Pelodiscus sinensis: one gene and its partner. The protein of the gene in region 1 interacts with the protein of each later gene in a pairwise test. Links are inferred from orthologs where the notes say so. Each region holds a gene or a part of one and is shown on either strand. Other genes may lie near its edges.

Region 1 (9,883 bases):
CTGCCTGCAACCCAAGCAGCCCAGCCTGGTAAGCCGGCCGCCTGGCTCCCAGAGGTGGCTGGGGACAAAGAGGGCCCCGAAACACCTTCCCCAGGTGACTCGACAGGGGCAGGGAAGCAGAAGCAACAACGTCAGGCAACAACACGACCAGAACCCAGGGGTCCTGGCTCCCAGCCCTCGCCCCCCCCCCCCCCCGCAAGTCACCTGGACCTCCCTCCTCTCCCAGAGCCCTGGGGGAGAACGCAGGACTCCTCCCCTCTCTGTCTCTCAGACCCCCCTTGTGACTACCCCGCTATATCCCCCCACCCCTTCTGCATCTCCATCCCTCCCTCCTGCCCCTTTCACCTCTGGCCTTCCGCCTCCGTCTCCTGGGAGCGGAGCTGCAGGGTCCGGAGCAGCTCTGGAGGGAACAGAAGTGTTAGTGCAGGGGTCCTGGCTCCCTGCTGGGGCCACCCCACAGCCCAGGGGCTCGCTCCGGCCTGCCCTCGGGCAGCTCCAATGGACCGAAGAGAAGATTGCCAGACAGATGGGGGCAGGGAACCCTGCTATGAGAGGATGGGGAATGGAGGACACACAGAGGGCCTGGGATGGGGGAAATTGGGGGACCCTGGTGTGAGGGCAGGGGGCAAAGGGGACACACAGAGCCCCCGGTGGGGGTAACTGGGGGACACAGCCCCCCCGGCAGGAGAGAGAACGAAGTCTCTTTAACAGAGGGGGCTGGGAGGGGCCACACAGGAGCCCACACGGTATGCAAGCTGGTAACGATCACACCTGTCTCTTCTCAAGCCCGTCTCATGGGTGGGTCTCAAAGCGCTGGACGGACACGGTCAGCACCCTCCCCCGGCGGTCCAGCCCTTCCTGTGTCCCTCAGTCAAGCTGCCTTCCCTCCTGGTAAAAGCCTGCTCTCACCTTGCTTCTGGCTGCAGATTTCCTCCAGGTTCGACTTCTCCACGTTCACTGCAAGAGGGGGGCGGGAAACAACCAGGCTGGGACCCGAATCGAGTGCCCTGCGAGCCTGCAGATATCCGCTTTCTAGCCATGGGCTGCGCCTCTGCGGATGGCAAGGCAGATCTCCACGGCTCTTTTTGTGGGTGCGGATACAGGTCCGCACAGGGCTCTACCCGTGTCCTCTGGGATGTGGGGACATATCCCACCTGCTGACAGGGGGTCCAGCCCCCGAGCATGCAGCCGGGTAGGGGTGTTGTCTGCAGTGCAAAAGGGGGCTGCTGTCAGAGAGCTCAGAAGATCCCATGGCCCAAATCCTTCGAGTGATTAATAGAGCCCTGAGAGGGCACAACATTTGTATCCGTGGGCACAGAAACGATCCCCGGATTTCTGCAACCACATCCACGGAGGCAGTGACCCGCAGATACGAAGCAGGAAGCCGCGGCCCGGCAGGAGACAGGCTCCTTGGAGAATCCGACCCAATGACCTGAGGAGCAACGTGGAACCGTGCCGGGCGGGGGTGACTTACGCTCCTCCAGCTCTTCCTGCAATTCCTTGCTGCGCGCCTGGCTGTCCTGCAGCTCCTGGCTCAGAGCCTGCTTAGCTATGGCAAGACCAAGCGGGTTGGGGGGAAGGTGAGGAGAGAGAGAGAGAGACTTCTTTGGGGCTGGAGAGGTGGGGTGTGTAATGAGGAGGGGTGGATAGACGGAGGGGTGTACGTGGGGAGGGGTAGACAGAGGGGTTCCACGAGGAGTAACGGTAGTTCGGAATAGGAAGCCTAATCCGAACTACCTAGTCCGTGCCGCGTGTAGCCGTGGGCACAGAGTCCGAACTAGCGGACATTTAAAAATGGCGGCGCCCGGCAATATGCAAATGAAGCCCGGGAAATTCAAATCCCAGGCTTCATTTGCAACTTCGGTTGCCTACATTAACCACCCTAGTTCGAACTAGGGCGGTAGTGTAGACATACCCCTATTTAGCAATTCAAATGTTGGCGGGGACATGGGGGGCAGTGCTACGGTCCCGGCAATGAGGGTGCGGGGGAACAGGCTGTAACGGGAGCACTCTCCCTTCCCTTCCCCTCCCCTCCCCTCACCTCGCTGCAGTTTCCTGAGCCTTCCTACCAGGTCGTCCATTCGGGGCTCCAGTGTCCCTGCTGCGGAGGGAAGGGGAAGGGCTTGCCTGGTTGTGCTCCTGACAAGGGTCCTTCACCCCCAGCTCTTTGGAGCGTGCCCGGGGGGGAAGCGGTTATTCCTGGCTCCGCTTACGGAGGGGCAGGGGACTGAGACACAGAGAAGTCACACCGAAAGTCATGGGCAGAGCCAGGAAAAGAACAAGAGCCCCCCCCTTACAGACTCCAGGCTAGATGCCCCCCTCCTCCCAGAGCTGGGGAGAAAACCCAAGTGTCCTGGCTTGCAGGCCTCCCCCCCCGCCCCGCCTCTAGGTCCCACTCCTTTCCTAGACCTGGAGGTAGAACCCAAGAATCCCAGCTTCCCCCCCCCCCCCCCCACCCCAACCACTGGACCCTACTCCCCTTGCAGGGCCAGGTACAGAGCCCAGGACTCCTAGCGCCTAGCTGCCCCCCCCCCCCCCGACCAACGTGTCCCAATCTCCTTCCAGAGCTGGGGAGAGGACCCTGATTCCCGGTTGCTTAAACACCACACCCAGCTCGTGGGTACCATCCTGCAGTTGTTTCACCAGCACTAGCAGCTCCTCTGCCTTGGGCGTGAAGCTGCTGGGAACTGGGAAGAGGAAACAAAAAAATCAATTGCTTTGAGAATTCCCCCCGAGCCTGTAACTGGGGATTTACCCGCCCCCACAACGGGCTAGAGAAGGCATTGCAGGCTGGACTCGGCTTTATCCAGCCCAGGGCACGAGGGAGACGGGCACTGTGGGATTGCCTTGGCGCTAACCCCTGCTTGGTGGGAGGAAGGCATTGGGGGCTTGCTGGTCCCTGGTGGGGGCAACAAGGGTACCGTGGCCCAACGTGTGAGGGAGCAGGGCGCTGTGAGACGCCCCCTTGGCGTGAGGGAGCAGGGTGCTGTGGGACGCCCCCCGATGTGAGGGGGCAGGGCACTGTGGGGCACCGCCCTTGGCGTGAGGGGGCAGGGCGCTGTGGGGCGCCCCCCTTGGCGTGAGGGGGCAGGGCGCTGTGGGGCGCCCTCCGGTGTGAGGGAGCAGGTCGCTGTGAGACGCCCGCCCTTGGTGTGAGGGAGCAGGGCGCTGTGGGGCGCCCCCCTTGGCGTGAGGGGGCAGGGCGCTGTGGGGCGCCCCCCTTGGCGTGAGGGGGCAGGGCGCAGTGGGACACCCCCCACCCCGGTGTGAGGGGGCAGGGCGCAGTGGGACACCCCCCACCCCGGTGTGAGGGGGCAGGGCGCTGTGGGGCGCCCCCCTTGGCATGAGGGGGCAGGGCGCAGTGGGGCACCCCCCGGTGTGAGGGGGCAGGGCGCAGTGGGACGCCCCCCCGGTGTGAGGGGGCAGGGCACAGTGGGGCGCCCCCCCCTTGGCGTGAGGGGGCAGGGCGCTGTGGAACGCTCCCCCTTGGTGTGAGGGGGCAGGGCGCTGTGGGGCGCCCCCCTTGGCGTGAGGGGGCAGGGCGCTGTGGGGCACCCCCCGGTGTGAGGAAGCAGGGCGCTGTGGGGCGCCCCCCGGTGTGAGGGGGCAGGGCGCTGTGGGACACCCCCCTTGGCGTGAGGGAGCAGGGCGCTGTGGGACGCCCCCCCGGTGTGAGGGGGCAGGGCGCAGTGGGGCGCCCCCCTTGGCGTGAGGGAGCAGGGCGCTGTGGGACGCCCCCCTTGGCGTGAGGGGGCAGGGCGCTGTGGAACGCTCCCCCTTGGTGTGAGGGGGCAGGGCGCTGTGGGGCACCCCCCTTGGCGTGAGGGGGCAGGGCGCTGTGGGGCACCCCCCGGTGTGAGGAAGCAGGGCGCTGTGGGGCACCCCCCAGTGTGAGGGGGCAGGGCGCTGTGGGGCGCCCCCCTTGGCGTGAGGGGGCAGGGTGCTGTGGGGCACCCCTTGGCGTGAGGGGGCAGGGCGCTGTGGGACACCCCCCTTGGCGTGAGGGGGCAGGGCGCTGTGAGACGCCCCCCTTGGTGTGAGGGGGCAGGGCGCTGTGAGACGCCCCCCTTGGTGTGAGGGGGCAGGGCGCTGTGGGGCGCCCCCCTTGGCGTGAGGGGGCAGGGCGCTGTGGGACGCCCCCCTTGGTGCTATGTAACTGCCATGGGCGCCCTGCGCTGTGGGGCTGGAGCTGTGCCCCCTCCGCCCATCCCCCTCACTCTGTCCACTCCTCTCCATGGCCCTGTGTCCAGAGAGCTGGGGGGGCCTTAACACCTGCGCCTAGTCGCACCGCGGGTGGAAGGGGAAGCCTTGAAACTGCCCCTCCTACGCTTTTTTCCCGCCTTTTTCCAACGGCTGCTGCGGCCCCGCCCCCTCCGGGGCTCGTGCCGTGTTTTCCAATGGCTAGGGCCCCGCCCCCTTCCAAAGAGGAGGGGCTAACTGCTCGCTGGGGGAGGGGCTGGGAGACAGGGTTCCTGGGCTCTCCCCCTGGCTGGGGGGGGGGGGGGGCTGGGAGACAGGGTTCCTGGGTTCTCCCCCTGGCTGGGGGGGCTGGGAGACAGGGTTCCTGGGTTCTCCCCCTGGGTGGGGGGGGGGGCTGGGAGACAGGGTTCCTGGGCTCTCCTCCTGGCTGGGGGGGGGGGGGGCTGGGAGACAGGGTTCCTGGGTTCTCCCCCTGGCTGGGGGGGCTGGGAGACAGGGTTCCTGGGTTCTCCCCCTGGGTGGGGGGGGGGCTGGGAGACAGGGTTCCTGGGCTCTCCTCCTGGCTGGGGGGGGGGGGGGCTGGGAGACAGGGTTCCTGGGCTCTCCCCCTGGCTGGGGGGGGGGGCTGGGAGACAGGGTTCCTGGGCTCTCCTCCTGGCTGGGGGGGGGGGGGGGGCTGGGAGACAGGGTTCCTGGGCTCTCCCCCTGGCTGGGGGGGGGGGCTGGGAGACAGGGTTCCTGGGTTCTCCCCCTGGCTGGGGGGGCTGGGAGACAGGGTTCCTGGGTTCTCCCCCTGGCTGTGGGGCGGGGGGGCTGGGAGACAGGGTTCCTGGGCTCTCCCCCTGGCTGGGGGGCGGGGGGGCTGGGAGACAGGGTTCCTGGGTTCTCCCCCTGGCTGTGGGGCGGGGGGGGGCTGGGAGACAGGGTTCCTGGGCTCTCCCTCTGGCTGTGGGGCGGGGGGGGCTGGGAGACAGGGTTCCTGGGCTCTCCCCCTGGCTATGGGGCGGGGGGGCTGGGAGACAGGGTTCCTGGGCTCTCCCTCTGGCTGTGGGGCGGGGGGGGGCTGGGAGACAGGGTTCCTGGGCTCTCCCTCTGGCTGTGGGGCGGGGGGGCTGGGAGACAGGGTTCCTGGGTTCTCCCCCTGGCTGTGGGGCGGGGGGGGGGGGCTGGGAGACAGGGTTCCTGGGCTCTCCCCCTGGCTGGGGGGGGGGCTGGGAGACAGGGCTCCTGGGCTCTCCCCCTGGCTGGGGGGGGGGGGGGCTGGGAGACAGGGTTCCTGGGCTCTCCCCCTGGCTGGGGGGGGGGGGGCCTGGGAGACAGGGTTCCTGGGTTCTCCCCCTGGCTGGGGGGGCTGGGAGACAGGGTTCCTGGGTTCTCCCCCTGGCTGGGGGGCGGGGGGGCTGGGAGACAGGGTTCCTGGGCTCTCCCCCTGGCTGGGGGGCGGGGGGGCTGGGAGACAGGGTTCCTGGGTTCTCCCCCTGGCTGTGGGGCGGGGGGGGGGGCTGGGAGACAGGGTTCCTGGGCTCTCCCTCTGGCTGTGGGGCGGGGGGGCTGGGAGACAGGGTTCCTGGGCTCTCCCCCTGGCTATGGGGCGGGGGGGCTGGGAGACAGGGTTCCTGGGTTCTCCCCCTGGCTGTGGGGCGTGGGGGGCTGGGAGACAGGGTTCCTGGGCTCTCCCTCTGGCTGTGGGGCGGGGGGGCTGGGAGACAGGGTTCCTGGGTTCTCCCCCTGGCTGTGGGGCGGGGGGGGCTGGGAGACAGGGTTCCTGGGCTCTCCCTCTGGCTGTGGGGCGGGGGGGCTGGGAGACAGGGTTCCTGGGTTCTCCCCCTGGCTGTGGGGCGGGGGGGGGGCTGGGAGACAGGGTTCCTGGGCTCTCCCCCTGGCTGGGGGGGGGGGCTGGGAGACAGGGTTCCTGGGTTCTCCCCCTGGCTGGGGGGGGGGGGCTGGGAGACAGGGTTCCTGGGTTCTCCCCCTGGCTGGGGGGGGGGGGGCTGGGAGACAGGGCTCCTGGGTTCTCCCCCTGGCTGGGGGAGGGGCTGGGAGACAGGGTTCCTGGGTTCTCCCCCTGGCTGGGGGGGGGGGGGCTGGGAGACAGGGCTCCTGGGTTCTCCCCCTGGCTGGGGGAGGGGCTGGGAGACAGGGCTCCTGGGTTCTCCCCCTGGCTGGGGGGGGGGACTGGGAGACAGGGCTCCTGGGTTCTCCCCGTAGCTGGGGGGGCTGGGAGACAGGGTTCCTGGGTTCTCCCCCTGGGTTCTCCCCCTGGCTGGGTGGGGGGGCTGGGAGCCCAGCCTCCTGAGTTCTTTTCCTGGCTGAGGGCTATGGAGGGGAGCAGGGAGCCAAGATTCCTGGGTTCTCCCCCTGGCTGTGGGGGGGTCTCTACTCAGTTTGGGGGTCCCAGTGGGTTAGAGCAGGGAACCATAGGCAGCTACCCTGGAGCATGGGACCTGCAGCTGCTCCTCCCTTGTCCCAACACCAGGCTAAGCTCATCCCAGCCTTCTGTGACAGGGCTAGATTACATCCACGCTCCCCCACATAGGACATCTCCAGTGGTCCTTGAGCTCCACCATGAAGGCAGGGTCCTGGGAGGATGTGCTAGTGGTTAGCAGCCTGGGAGACTCCCCCATAGAGAAGGGCCATAGCTGGGAGGGAGGGTAATTGGCTTGGGAAGATGGTACGGGATAGGGAGCTCTAACGACTGGCAGGGAACGAGCGATGCGCGAGGGCTGGCAGTGACTGGACAGAGGCCTAGCCTGCTCCTGTACCTCAGTGGCCCGACAAGTGCAGGAGCCTGAGCTAGGCAGCTGGCCATTGCTTGTTTCTGCCTCCCCAACCCGTGCAGATAGATTCCTGGTGCATGGAGCCCGGGGGTGGATAGCGGACCAGACCTCTCCAGGCAGCAGCTGCCTTCCTTGCACAGGCCCATCTCCTTCTGCAGAGCCCATGCACACAGCTTACAGCATGGTGTGAGCGCGAGCTGCATCTTAAAATAACAGCCGGGAGGCTCGCCTGGGTATTTTGGACTCTGGTTGGGTCCATGCTTCTATTTCCAATGTTGTAGTAGCAAGGTTAACTTGCTAGCGCAGCTGGTAGCTTCGTTTCTGCACAACAGCTCTCTCTGCACCACATCAGCACACACAAGAGTCAAGTAACAGCCTGCGGTCCAGGGTGCAATACCCCAGAAAAAACAGCTGTGAATAAGAATCGGTCATAACCTTTCTACCATGCCTTGCTGCGCTCCTTCCCTCTTCAAGAGCGGCTGAACTTGCTGCCTGTTATGTGCTCCTTATGGGAGACAGAGCGACCGTGTGCTAAGGACTGACTGGCAAGATGAGCCCCAGCTGCCATAAAGTTGCATACCTCCATCGCCAGCAGTTCACACGTGAAACGACAGAGGTTTGGCCCAAAAGACACAGTTCGCTGCTGGAACTAGTGCCCGATTTATCTCCAATTTGTGTACCTCTCCCTTCTGAATGAGCCCAGCAGCTGCGGAAGGAACACAGCCCACAGCAGGTATAATACTTAGATATGAATAACCACCTCTGCACCTGTAACTAAGTGGAACACACAGCGAGAAGAAAAGAGGCTCCTGGAGGAGAAAAATGAGTGCAGCGAATTTGGAATCACATCTTGCCTTGCTCGCCCCTGTCAAAAAGAACGGGGCTGACGGGATGGAAAACGCCAACCTCAGGCAGAGGGTTAGTGTGACAACGTTTGGGGCAAGCTCATCTGTGAGCCGACATATATCCACAGGTGAGCGTATTAAAATCGACACAAGACCTCTGGTGTGCATCCACAGCTCCCTATAGCAGAAATCCCAACACAGCTAGTATTTAGAAAGCACCAATTCCTCCTCCTCATGGCTACAGCCTCCGTGCTGGCTAGCAAGCAAGGCAGATACACCCTCATCAAAACAACTTTTTAATAAGACTTTGATTCTCAGTTCCACAAGCCAGCCAGGAAGAGACCTCATTTGACAGCCAGCCACGCCGGTTCCAGGCACAGCGCCTCATGCATGTGAAAACACTTTCCACTTCCCCAACCCCGCCAGGTCTCCTTGGAGCAGCTAGATGCAAGTGAAAGGAGATGCAGGCAGGGCTCGCTCTCCGGAGACATGGGGTGATCTTCCTGGGTGAAGCAGATCCCACAGATTCTGGCTCGAGCCCACGGCTGAGGCCCCAAACAGCCCTTCTAGCAGCCCGGATGGACAACGAGACTGAAAAGAGCCAAGGGGCAGCCCATTTACCGTAAGGCAGGGCGCAGCTGTCACCAGCAAAGGAGAGAGGCAGTCTGTTGCTTTCAAAAAGCATTTTGAATCTTCCTGTGAAAGGATCTGCCTTTCCAAAAGGGAACATTAAATTAATACAGACCCCTGCATTGGTGCAGACATTAATACAGAGGAGAGTGCATTGGTGCAGACATTAACTAACACAACCAGCCCATGGAGAGAGAACACAACATGGGGGGCATCTCCCATTTCCGATTTACAGCATCGAGAGCAGCATGTGCGGGGGACGGAGAGGAGGAGATGAAGGAGTAATCTCCTTTCCACCGCACATATTGCCGTTTCCAGACACAGCGCCCAGTTTAAATCGGTTGGCAAACATGAGCCGCTGTTTCCAGACACAGCACCCAGCTAAATCTATTATCAAACATGAGCCACAGACCTCCAGGTCCTGCAAGAAATCTAAGTTCATTCCAGGCTAGGACACTTAAAGAGCAGAGAGTGTTAGAAAAATGGGTTCAAAGCAGGTCGGGCTCTGATGCCAAGAGATGCAATTAGCCACAATTCTTCCAAAGGAAGGAGAAACACAATTGCAACCCATTGCTTAGGGACCGGCAGCTGATCCACACTGGGAAGCAGAGAACAGAGGCTCCGGGGAAAGGAGCCAAGTACTAGAAGAAAAACTTCCGTCGAGGAGATGCCATACACAAACCCAGCTTCATCATTTGGGTGGAGTCCTTCAGCACAGGCCCTTCCCGTAACAGGCCACAGGAGCCAGTGTAAGCTTGTCATGCCCCTTGGCGCCCCACATCAGCCTAGCGCACAAGGCTCAAAAGTGAAGCAACAAGGCCCGGCGTCATCCTCCCCCAACCAGGCCTCCTTAACATAGGCTCGGAGACACAAGTAGGCCAATAAATAAGACAGACAAGCAACCACACATCGCAGGAGCCCTGGAAGGAACCAGCCACGCCTGAGCTAGATCACAGAGAGTGGTTTCTCTGGAGGAAGAGATTTCCCCCCACGTTATCCAGTCACCGGTGAAACAGGGGCCCGGGTGAAGCAAAACCAGGCTTAGAGGCCAGCAAAAAATCCATTCTCAGCGCCGTCGGGCCGGCCGCCCTTGGTGCCCTTCCCTGGGTTGGGTGTGGTGGAGTACTTGGGGGGGTAGCGAATGAAAAGCCGGTCCTCCTCCTTCTTGATCCAGCGCAACAGCTTGGTGAGAACATTGATAGCACCAGCTTTGGTCACCAGGGGGCTGAAGCAAGTGTACAGTTCAAACTTACTGGTCACCTGGGAAGGAGAAGGTGGAAGAGAATAGGTCAAGCAATCTTTTCCCCAAAACCCAGCACCATCTCATCTCTTGCGCTCCTCCTCTAACCCTCTCCTCCTGGCTTCTTCTCATCACTAGCCCTCAGGGAGGGAGCACAAGCTTGAAACCCATCTGAAGTAGGACAGCCAGGA
Region 2 (9,287 bases), on another chromosome or scaffold:
TAAAGAATATGATCAGGACTCGGAACACTTGGATTCTCTTTTTGATTCTGCTATTGATCCATTGTCTTTCCAAGGCAAGTTACTATGCCTATGTATGCCTCCCTTTGCCCAGTTAGAAAACATCCTACTTTAAACATGTTGTGAGACTTAGATGGTAAATATTTTTAAAGTGTTTGAGATCTCAGATGAAAGTGTATGCTTTTTGCATACTGCACAAGTGAAACATAAAGATTCCAATACCTGCTGTTTTTGCATTGACCTTTCATTAGCCCCACAAAAAGTATCACTTGCAGGTTTGTGTTGGCTTTCCAGATTTTTTATTATTATTATTATTATTATCCATGATACAAACACAGTTTCCATTTTACAGTCAGCTGCTAAATATTTTTTCTTGTGCAGAATATGCCGCCTTAAAACACTGTATAAAACACTGATTATGTGGAGGATAGAGAGTGGTGAAGGGCTGAGGAGTTGGGGAGGAGTGTCCAAGTGGGAACCATCCAGTTGTGGTTATATAATTATTACTTTTAACTAAATAGAGCTTTTGAAAATGTGATTACACAAATGAGAGAATAAAACTGAACTCTGAATTGCTAATTAAACAAGACTGTGATGATATCAAGTTGGTGGATAAACTCATTCATTCTTAGTAGCTTTCATTTAATAATTCTGTTCCTCACTGTAATAACCACAACTAAGAGAAAACAACTGATTTGATTTTAATCAGGCCAGACTATAACACCACGGGGTGCGCTTCAATCACTCCCGTGTACATAATGCCTGGAGCTCCTCTCCTGTTTAATAAGTCTTTTCCACAATACACTGTGAAATGATAATACTAATTATGATGGAGATTTGAAATCCTTCATCCAAGACATAGTGCATTGGAATCAGGCTGCATTTATCATCAGCATCGAAACCCACTGTTAGGGGTTTGCTAATGATTCACTCATCTTTGTCATTGTTAAAAATCTTGTACTCACTTGATGATAGATAGTTTCCCAGTTTTCTCTCAGTGCTTCCCAGTTGTTGACATTGGATGACTTCTTTTCCAGGTAGACTCTGATATGCTCTTCAAGCTCTTGATTGACCTGTTCTAGAGCTCTCACTTTCTCTATGTATTCCACCAGGCTTCCGTTCAGGCTTTCATAGGATAGGCCCCTTCCCTTCTCCAGCCCCTGAGATAATGGCACAGCTGAACAGGAACTGCGCAGGCCTTGTAAGAAGACACTGCTGATGCCTAGGGCTCTACGGGACACGCGGGTCCCTAGGCTGCTCATGCCTCCAGTGGGGACAATACCCACATAGACACCTCGAGATCTTGGTAGGCTTCCTCCACCTCCAATGCTTAACCTTTGGCTGGTAGCCCCAGTGCTTTCAGTCATGGAGGAAGATGGCTGTTGCCCCAAGAATGAAGATCTGCGTCTTGGCATGGGCATGCTGTTGCTCGAATCTATTGCACTAAAAAAAGTTGCCTCTGCCTTGAAGCCCCTTGTGCCATACCCACACTGGTCAGATGTGCAGACCCAAGCAGATTTTTGGTTTTGTGTTTTTGCTTTGTCCCCTTCTGGAACGTTAACATTGTGTTTCACTGATCGTCACAGGCATGTTTGTCACATTGGGGCTTTTCATTGGGTCAGCAAATCCATTTAAAGAGAAATCTCTCTGCTGCTACTGCTGCAAGTATGAAAAGGACAAAGCTGTTTACAGTGAATGCAGAACAATAACTCCTTACAGTGCACATGGTAAAATAGTACTGCTGTTTTTTAGACAGCAAGCCAGACAGATTTTTAGCATTTTATATATACATTGTGCATGCGAGCACACATACACACAGCTAGATTCTTTTACCCTTACTCATGTTGAGAAGTACTTTACTTCATGCATTGTCCTATTTAGATTATCATGGAAGTGTAGAACTGTAAGGAACCACAAGAGGTCATGTAGTCTACTCCCCTGTACTCAAAGCAGGCTGACATAATAATTAGATAATTGCTGATAGTCGTTTGTCTAACTTGTTTTGTTTTGTTGGGGTTTTTTTGTGGAAGGCAGATTTCTAGCCAGTATTTTGTTATATTGAGGCAATCTCATAGCCTAAATCCCTATCTTTTTTTGCTATCATCAGCCTTTAGGATAGGAGCTAATTGGTGGAGTACCAGTGGAATCTGTTCAGCATTTTGTAGTGATTTAGTTTGCTGTCTCTAGTAGTAATTTAGTCTTACTCCTCTGCTTTATATGCCTTGTTGATTTCTAACACCCATAGCCTTTTCAGAATAGTATAGTATGTTGATATTTTTGTTATCAGGAAGGTTAATGCACGGCAGATTTGGTATCTGTAGTATGCAGGGAAATTTCTGTTGCCAGAATGGTTAGATTCACTAGCTTTTTGTCATGCTGTGGTGGTGGTGTATACTTTCCCAGAAATTGGAGAACATTGGTAGATGCATTTGTTCTAGATATTAAGATTGAATTAGCATCTTTGTATATGCAAAATGGAAATATCATGTCCTTTCTAAGCCATGTCATCCAAAACATCTGTATATTACAATTTTTTTAATGCTTGTTTCCCTAGGTATGGGAGCTAGGGTTCCTGGTATGTGGGACAGCATGTATTTTTTCTACATCATGTCTTCTGTCTTCTGAAAAAATGAGGAAGAACAGCTCTTGTGCAAGAGAGGGTTTTTGCGCAAAAGTCTCTTGTGCAAAAACGGCCCCCTAATTATTTATGCAAATGAAGTGTGACGATATTCTACTCCGTGCTTCATTTGCATGAGCTTTTGAGGAAGAAGGGTGCAGTATAGACGTAGCCCCAGAGACTTGTGCTGGTGCTGAGGGATTCTGCTCCTGGCAGTTGCAGCCAGGGTCGCCTGGACCCTAGATTTCTGCCCCCACTCCTGCATGCTCTGAGTGCTGAGCTCAGGGCATCCTCCCCTGGCAGCTTCTGCTGGGGTTGGGTGGCTTCTGCTCCAGCCTAGGCCTCGGGGCTTTCCTCCCTCCCTTGCCCTCAGGGCACCGAGCTCAGGGCTTCCTCCCAAGTGATTCTTGCTGGGGCTGTGAACTTCCACTCCCAATGGCTGTGGCTAAGGCTGCCCAGGCTCTGGGCTTCTCCCCCCTCTTCCACAGCTTCTCTGTGGCCCTGGCACTCTGGGCTTCCTTCCTTGGAGGCTCCTGCTGGGACTTGGGGTACTGAGTTGAAGCTATTGCCCCAGGACTTCTTCTAGGTCTGGGGCACCCATTTTTATTGCAGGCCCCCAAATTAGCTGGGAATGCCTGCCTTACTCTGCCACTGGCCTGGGAGAGCAGCTGGAAATCTCTGGCACCTCTAGGCACCATCTCCACCTCAGCCCCGAAGGCAGCACAGAAGTCAGGGTGGCAAACTTGGGATCCCTTCTCAACTTTGCAGCCTCTCCCTATCCCATTTTGGGTCAAGACCCCCATAGTTACAACCCCATAAAAGTTCACATATCAACATCTGAAATCATGAAAATGGACACTTTTTAAAACCCTCCATCTGTTAAATTGATCAGAATAGACCGAGAATTTGGTAGGGCCCTAGTGATGGCCATGACATGCTAGGGAATGTACTAAATCAGTGACCTGATTAGGGAACCTGTGAAGGAGGCCTTCTAGAAAACTCCACTGGTGAGCTGAAGGGAACACTCCCTTGGAAGTACCTTGAGGAGATGTTGGTGGCATAAATCCCACTTTCCTTTCTACAGGGGTGAATCCCCTTTTGGTGTAGTGACTGTTGCTGGCACAAGGGAGTGAAATTTGAATTGACACCCTTAATACTAGCAGGTGTGACTCAAAGCCTATGCACATATGTATACACATTGTGACAGATAATCTATATTGTACTATTTCCAGTCCGCTCATATAACCAAGTTTGACAATTCAGCCCTTAGAGAAATAAGTACAGCTCTTATTTAACCCAATGGGAATTGTACCTGCGTCTTTGAGGAAGAAATGAGTTTAGCTCTGTTCACTCTTCTTTTATGCTTCAGATTATAAATACACAGTGGCTGTGTCTACACTGCACCCCTTTTCCGGAAAAGGGATGCAGATTAGACACTTCGGAATTGCAAATCCACGGGGGATTTAAATATCCCCCGCGGCATTTGCATTTACATGGCTGCCGCTTTTTTCCAAATTGAAAGTAGGAATAAGAAATCCTCCGGAAAAGGGCTTATTTTCCGGAGAATTGCGTCTAGACTGGCGCTTTTCTCCAGCTTATCCCCAAGCCGGAAAAGAGCGGCAGCCATGTAAATGCAAATGCCATGGGGGATATTTAAATCCCCCGCGGATTTGCAATTCTGAAGTGTCTAATCTGCATCCCTTTTCCGGAAAAGGGGTGCAGTGTAGACACAGCCTGTGTGTGGTGTCCTGCAGCCTTTTCCACAGGCCAAACTGCTGGTGGAGTTTAAGCCCTAATCAGATCTGATGCTCATCAAATACTGCGTTTATCCTTCATTCACCAGAGTTAAGGATAGAGGGATGCACAGCTTTTGTCTCTCCACTAAGCATGTGCACCTGAATCCTCTCAATGTCCATAGCCATCTACAATAACTTGACAATAAATCTACTGATTTAGAGAGCAAGAGAAACGAGACTGCTCTGATTTAAAGAGATGAACCAAATGACCCATGATATCCATTCTGTCCTTAGCAGCTATGGTTTTATAAATCTCTGAAGACTGTGGCACAGATTCAAAATAGTGTCTTAGCATTATTGAAGGGATGGGTCTAAACTGCTTTTGTGGCCCCAAGATCCTGGGCCTGTAATCTGAGCCCTGATGCCCAGGGCTGAAACCAGGACTGGTGGGGCTCTGGCTTTTGCTGCAGCAAGTCTAAGCCAGTCCTGGTGACCTCATTAGAATGGGGTCAGTACCCACTTTGGGGTCCCGTCTCACCTTTTGAGAACCGCTGCTTTAGATATGGCATTAAAGTTTTCATGTTCTCTACTACTTTTAATACATCTTGCTCCTTATTACCCACCACGGTTTTAATTTGGCTATTGCAGCTTGCAGGCAGGCTTAAAAGATGGATGTCCTTTACTGCCATTATACCCTATAGCAGTGGTCTCCAACCTTTTTACACCCAAGATCACTTTTTAAGTCTCAGAACAGGTGAAGATCTACTGCCCCGCCCCTTCCTTGAAGCCCTGCCTACATTACATGAGGAAATCTAATGTAAATGCACTGCGAAGGTGCGCAGTTCAGAGAGGGCTCAAGAGCTACTGGTAGATCGCGATCTATTGGTTCTATAGAATCTACTGCAAATCTTGCATCCTCACCAGGACTTCAATGTGAGTGCTGCCTGTGAACGAGAAGGGGATTAGTCCCTGACAGCACTGTTCTTCTCTTAGAATTGTGCATATTATGTGCTATCCAGATTCCTATGAACACTGTTTGATGGGAGGAGTACTGGGGATTTGGCGATGTTGCAGAAGAACGGAGGTATTCTGAGAGCACTGTGGGAGCACAGTACATAAATATCTCATTTAATAAAAGATGAAACATTCATCTCCTCTGCTTGTGCGGCTAGATGCTCACAGGAGATAGTGCCTTTTCCAACCCCTTGATCTCGCTGTCCATTCCCTACTGGCACAATGACTGAACTGCTGCCAGGCTTGGTAGCCAATTCCCTAAAGCTCCACAACTGCTAGCATCAGCACACTGTCTGGGTCTACAGTGCGAGTGCTAGGAGGGGCTCACTGTGGTGCTGTCTCTTTCATAACACAGAAACAGCTAGAACATATCTCAGCATATGAGATCTCCTGCACTTGCTCTATCAAGTGAATCTAATGTGGAATGTGTACCAAGTAAGGGCGATAAGTCTGTTTTATCTTAGGGTGTGTCTAGACTATATGGCTCCGTTGACGGAACCATGTAGTCTAGACACACCCTTAATGAATATTGTATGTGCATGTTTAAATATGTTCAGAGCTGTTAAAAAAAGGATGGTGATCAATTGTTACCCATGACCATTGAAGATAGGAAAATAAACACTTGACTTAATCTGCAGCAAGGGAGATTTAGGTTTGATATTAGGAAAAGCTTTCTAACTATATAGCTAAACTTTGGAATAGTTTTCAAGGGAAGCTGTGGAATTCCCATCAGTGGAGGTTTTTAAGAACAGGTTGGACATACAATTGTCAAGGATGGCCTAGGTTTACTTGCCCCGGTCTTAGTGCAGAGGACTGGACTAGGTGAACACTAGAGGTCCCTTCCAGCCTTGCATTTCTGTGATTGTTACTGCATTGCTGGCTCTGTGACTACTAGAGTTAATTCCGGCAAAAAATGTCAGTGATTTCAGACTAAGTGTTATGATCAGTACTCCGCAAGACTACACCACAGTTATTACCTTTTATGTTTCACCTAAACTCAAAGCACTCGTGAGGAGGGGAAGGGGGAAGGTCATGGTGAGACATAAAAACAAAAAGCTTTGGTTCTGATCAAAGAAGCATGACCAAGAGGGGGAGATTCTAGGAGACCTAGATAGGCAGTCTAGGGAGAGGCAAGCTGATTCTCAGAGTTGGATAAGTTAAGGGCCTGTTTAAATTAGCAAAGAAAGACTTAAGTTTTGGTATGAAAATGTGTGGTCAGTCTTTTATTGTTTTACCCGTTTTTTGTCTGCTAGTTACATTTCTATGAACCAAAATCATACTTGTTTTGAAGAAGCTATCCCGAGTCTTTGCTTTTTACATTGGTCATGAGTTCCTGGTGAGGGATTCTATAGCCAGACATGACTACAACTGGTGAAACCTAATGAACGGTGGGGTTCCCAGTGTACAGCAGAGGCCTGTCCCTTGGAAAAAGAGTCCTGTGCAGTACCAAATAAGCACAGTCTTCAGAGAGGCTAACCTTCCGTAGTGACGATACTGACTAAGCATTTTGTAAAAGCAGTTAGTAAATGATAGCAGGAAAAGCAGTTGGTTCAGTAGGTGTTTTGCTTAGAAATACTTTTATTTTATAAAGCCACAGTTTTCTGTAAAGTTTTACCACACTTATAAAAAAGAAGTTGACAATTTTTAGGGGAAAAAAGCTGAAAACATTTCTCATAATTCAGGGTTACACAAAGATTATATTTATAATATATATATTTATTTATAATTTGGAGACACTAAAGATGGAACTGCAATACAAGGGCAGGTGTGGGATCATATTTCAGACACTTGCTCATGTCCTACAAATAGCGTTTCTTGACAAAAGGGGTTAACAAGGACCATCCCACTGTCTCTGTAATCACCATTGGCTGGGGAACGTGGCTCAGACAGATGGTCCTAAGGAGAGAGAGAAAAAAGAGCATGAGCTATTTAGATTCTGTTATTAACTCTTGGTGTACATCACAGCACATTGCAGTTTGCCTTTATTATATATAAAGGAACATGGTGATGATATAAGCCCTATAGAGTGAAAGCTGAGAAAATATGTCCAAATTCTTCAAAGTGTCCCTATTTTTAGGTGTCCCAGGTTCTGACTATCCAGCTTTAGAAAACCAGGGCTTGATTTCCGGAGGTTTTGCTCTAACTGCAGTCAAATGGGAGCTGTGGGTTGAAAAATCAGGCCACTACTTACTCAACTTGGCCACCCAAGAATTGAGGAGCCCAAAATTAGAGACTATTTTACAGAATTTGGCCTCGTGTAATTTTGCTTTCTTTAAATTTTGCAAACAATTTTTTTGTGTGAAATGTCATATCCATTATTCCCAACTAGTTAGCTTTCAGAGAGACTCTCCCAAGCCCGCATACAAAGGAATTACATTTTTGACCTCTTTTTTTTTTTAATGTAATAAACAACTAACTTGGTGCTAGACTGTACAGAAAATGTCTGTGATATTAACACTGAAGTGTGTTCCTTTTCCACTTCAAGTTAGTGACAAGACAGCAAAGAAACTTTATGGTTACAGTTCTGGCTTTAGCTAAGTTTTCTGCTAAAATTAGAAATTACAGAGCCCCAATGTACAATGTACTTAGGTTAAGGGTAGGAATCAACAGAACTTACTTTTTTTTTAAACTAGTTTTCCTTATTAAAAAATAGCAAGATATCCACTTTTTCATCAAAGGATTGCTTTATTTCTTATTAGTATCTGTCCATCTTGGTGCTCCTATGTCACCTCAAATGGCCGGTTAGGGATGCTGGACATGTGAGGACATTTTGTGAGACTGCCTATGCTGCACTGATCCTTAGTTGCTTTTTAGGGGCAACTTGCAGGCTGCATATAATACACGCTCTATTATGACGTCCAATTCAGTTTTAAATAACTCCAGTGGTAGGGCTCCTACAACTTCTCGTTTTGGTGACTGTTCTACACCCTAACAGTTTTCACTGTGAGGAAGTTGTCTCTTGGAATGCTTAGAGTAGATTTTGTGGTTTGGTTTCAAATTGAATTAAATAAGTGCCAGCTAACTAAGGCCTTGTCTACACTATGAGATAAGGTTGAATTTATTAAGATTGATTTTTTTTTTTTTTAGCACCTGCTTTTGTCAAGTCAAAGGTGCATGTCCCCACTGTGTGCAAGAATTCAGCGTTGTTCAAAGTAGTGAACCCCCAGTAGGGTGGCCACCGTTGACTTTGAGAGCAATGCCCAAAGTTCCTGTCTCCCCTTTGCATTCTGGGTTATGAGCCTAGTGCATGCTGGGATCAAAACTATGTAGTGGGTGGTTCTGGGTACATATCATCAGTGTCCCATAATGCATTCGTCTCCTCCCTCCCGTACTGCTTGAAAGCAATGGCAAACAGTCTTTTCATGCTCTTTCCCCCCGGATTATCTGTGCAGATGCCATAGCAGGGGAAGCATGGAACCCATTGTGAAACCGAAGTATTATGGCAAACATATTAGCCATGGTGCATCTTATGTTAAAGTATGTTCATAATGTATCCAGGGTCCATGGAATGAGGCCAAATCTTGAGAGGCCATAAATATATTCTTCTGTGAAACATGAGTTGGGCAAATTCCGCCAGCATTTGATCCTGTGGACACAGTGGAATGCCTGTTCTGGTGCCGTGGGACCACATAGTGATGCAGCTATGGAGCAACTAGCAGTGGCCACTTTCATGGAAGTTTGCGAATTGCTTTCCCTCACCCCAAAGCACAAGAATACCAGAATGAGATCCACTCTGAGAGAGGAGAACTGAGGGGAAATTCCCCTGTGGAAGCTTGCAATGCTACCAATCAGCTGGGAATCAACTTGAAGTGGAGGAATCCACAGTGGGGTGTGGGGTGATCAAAGTAGCCAAAGCAATCAATATCCTTCTGCTGTGGAGGGCAGTGATGGGAAATGTGCAG

The links. The genes of interacting proteins can lie anywhere in the genome.
Region 2: the proteins of synaptonemal complex central element protein 1 (region 1) and BFSP2 interact in binary tests that used the Homo sapiens proteins (3 or more experiments, as listed by UniProt). The two-hybrid records come from large-scale screens. The link is inferred for Pelodiscus sinensis from reciprocal best matches to the Homo sapiens genes SYCE1 and BFSP2.

Annotation. Positions count from the first base shown.
Region 1 is NW_027465846.1:150,641-160,523, reverse strand, and holds the start of synaptonemal complex central element protein 1, read right to left. Parts: upstream 4,338-9,883; 5' UTR 4,237-4,337; coding exon 4,218-4,236; intron 2,688-4,217; coding exon 2,625-2,687; intron 2,102-2,624; coding exon 2,042-2,101; intron 1,550-2,041; coding exon 1,475-1,549; intron 958-1,474; coding exon 910-957; intron 401-909; coding exon 346-400; intron 5-345; coding exon 1-4. Other genes in the region: vacuolar fusion protein MON1 homolog B-like, read right to left, coding at 9,494-9,712. UniProt on the Homo sapiens protein: Major component of the transverse central element of synaptonemal complexes (SCS), formed between homologous chromosomes during meiotic prophase. Requires SYCP1 in order to be incorporated into the central element.
Region 2 is NC_134712.1:179,367,436-179,376,722, forward strand, and holds the start of BFSP2 (phakinin), read right to left. Parts: upstream 4,090-9,287; 5' UTR 1,440-4,089; coding exon 984-1,439; intron 1-983. Other genes in the region: TMEM108 (transmembrane protein 108), read right to left, coding at 7,159-7,281.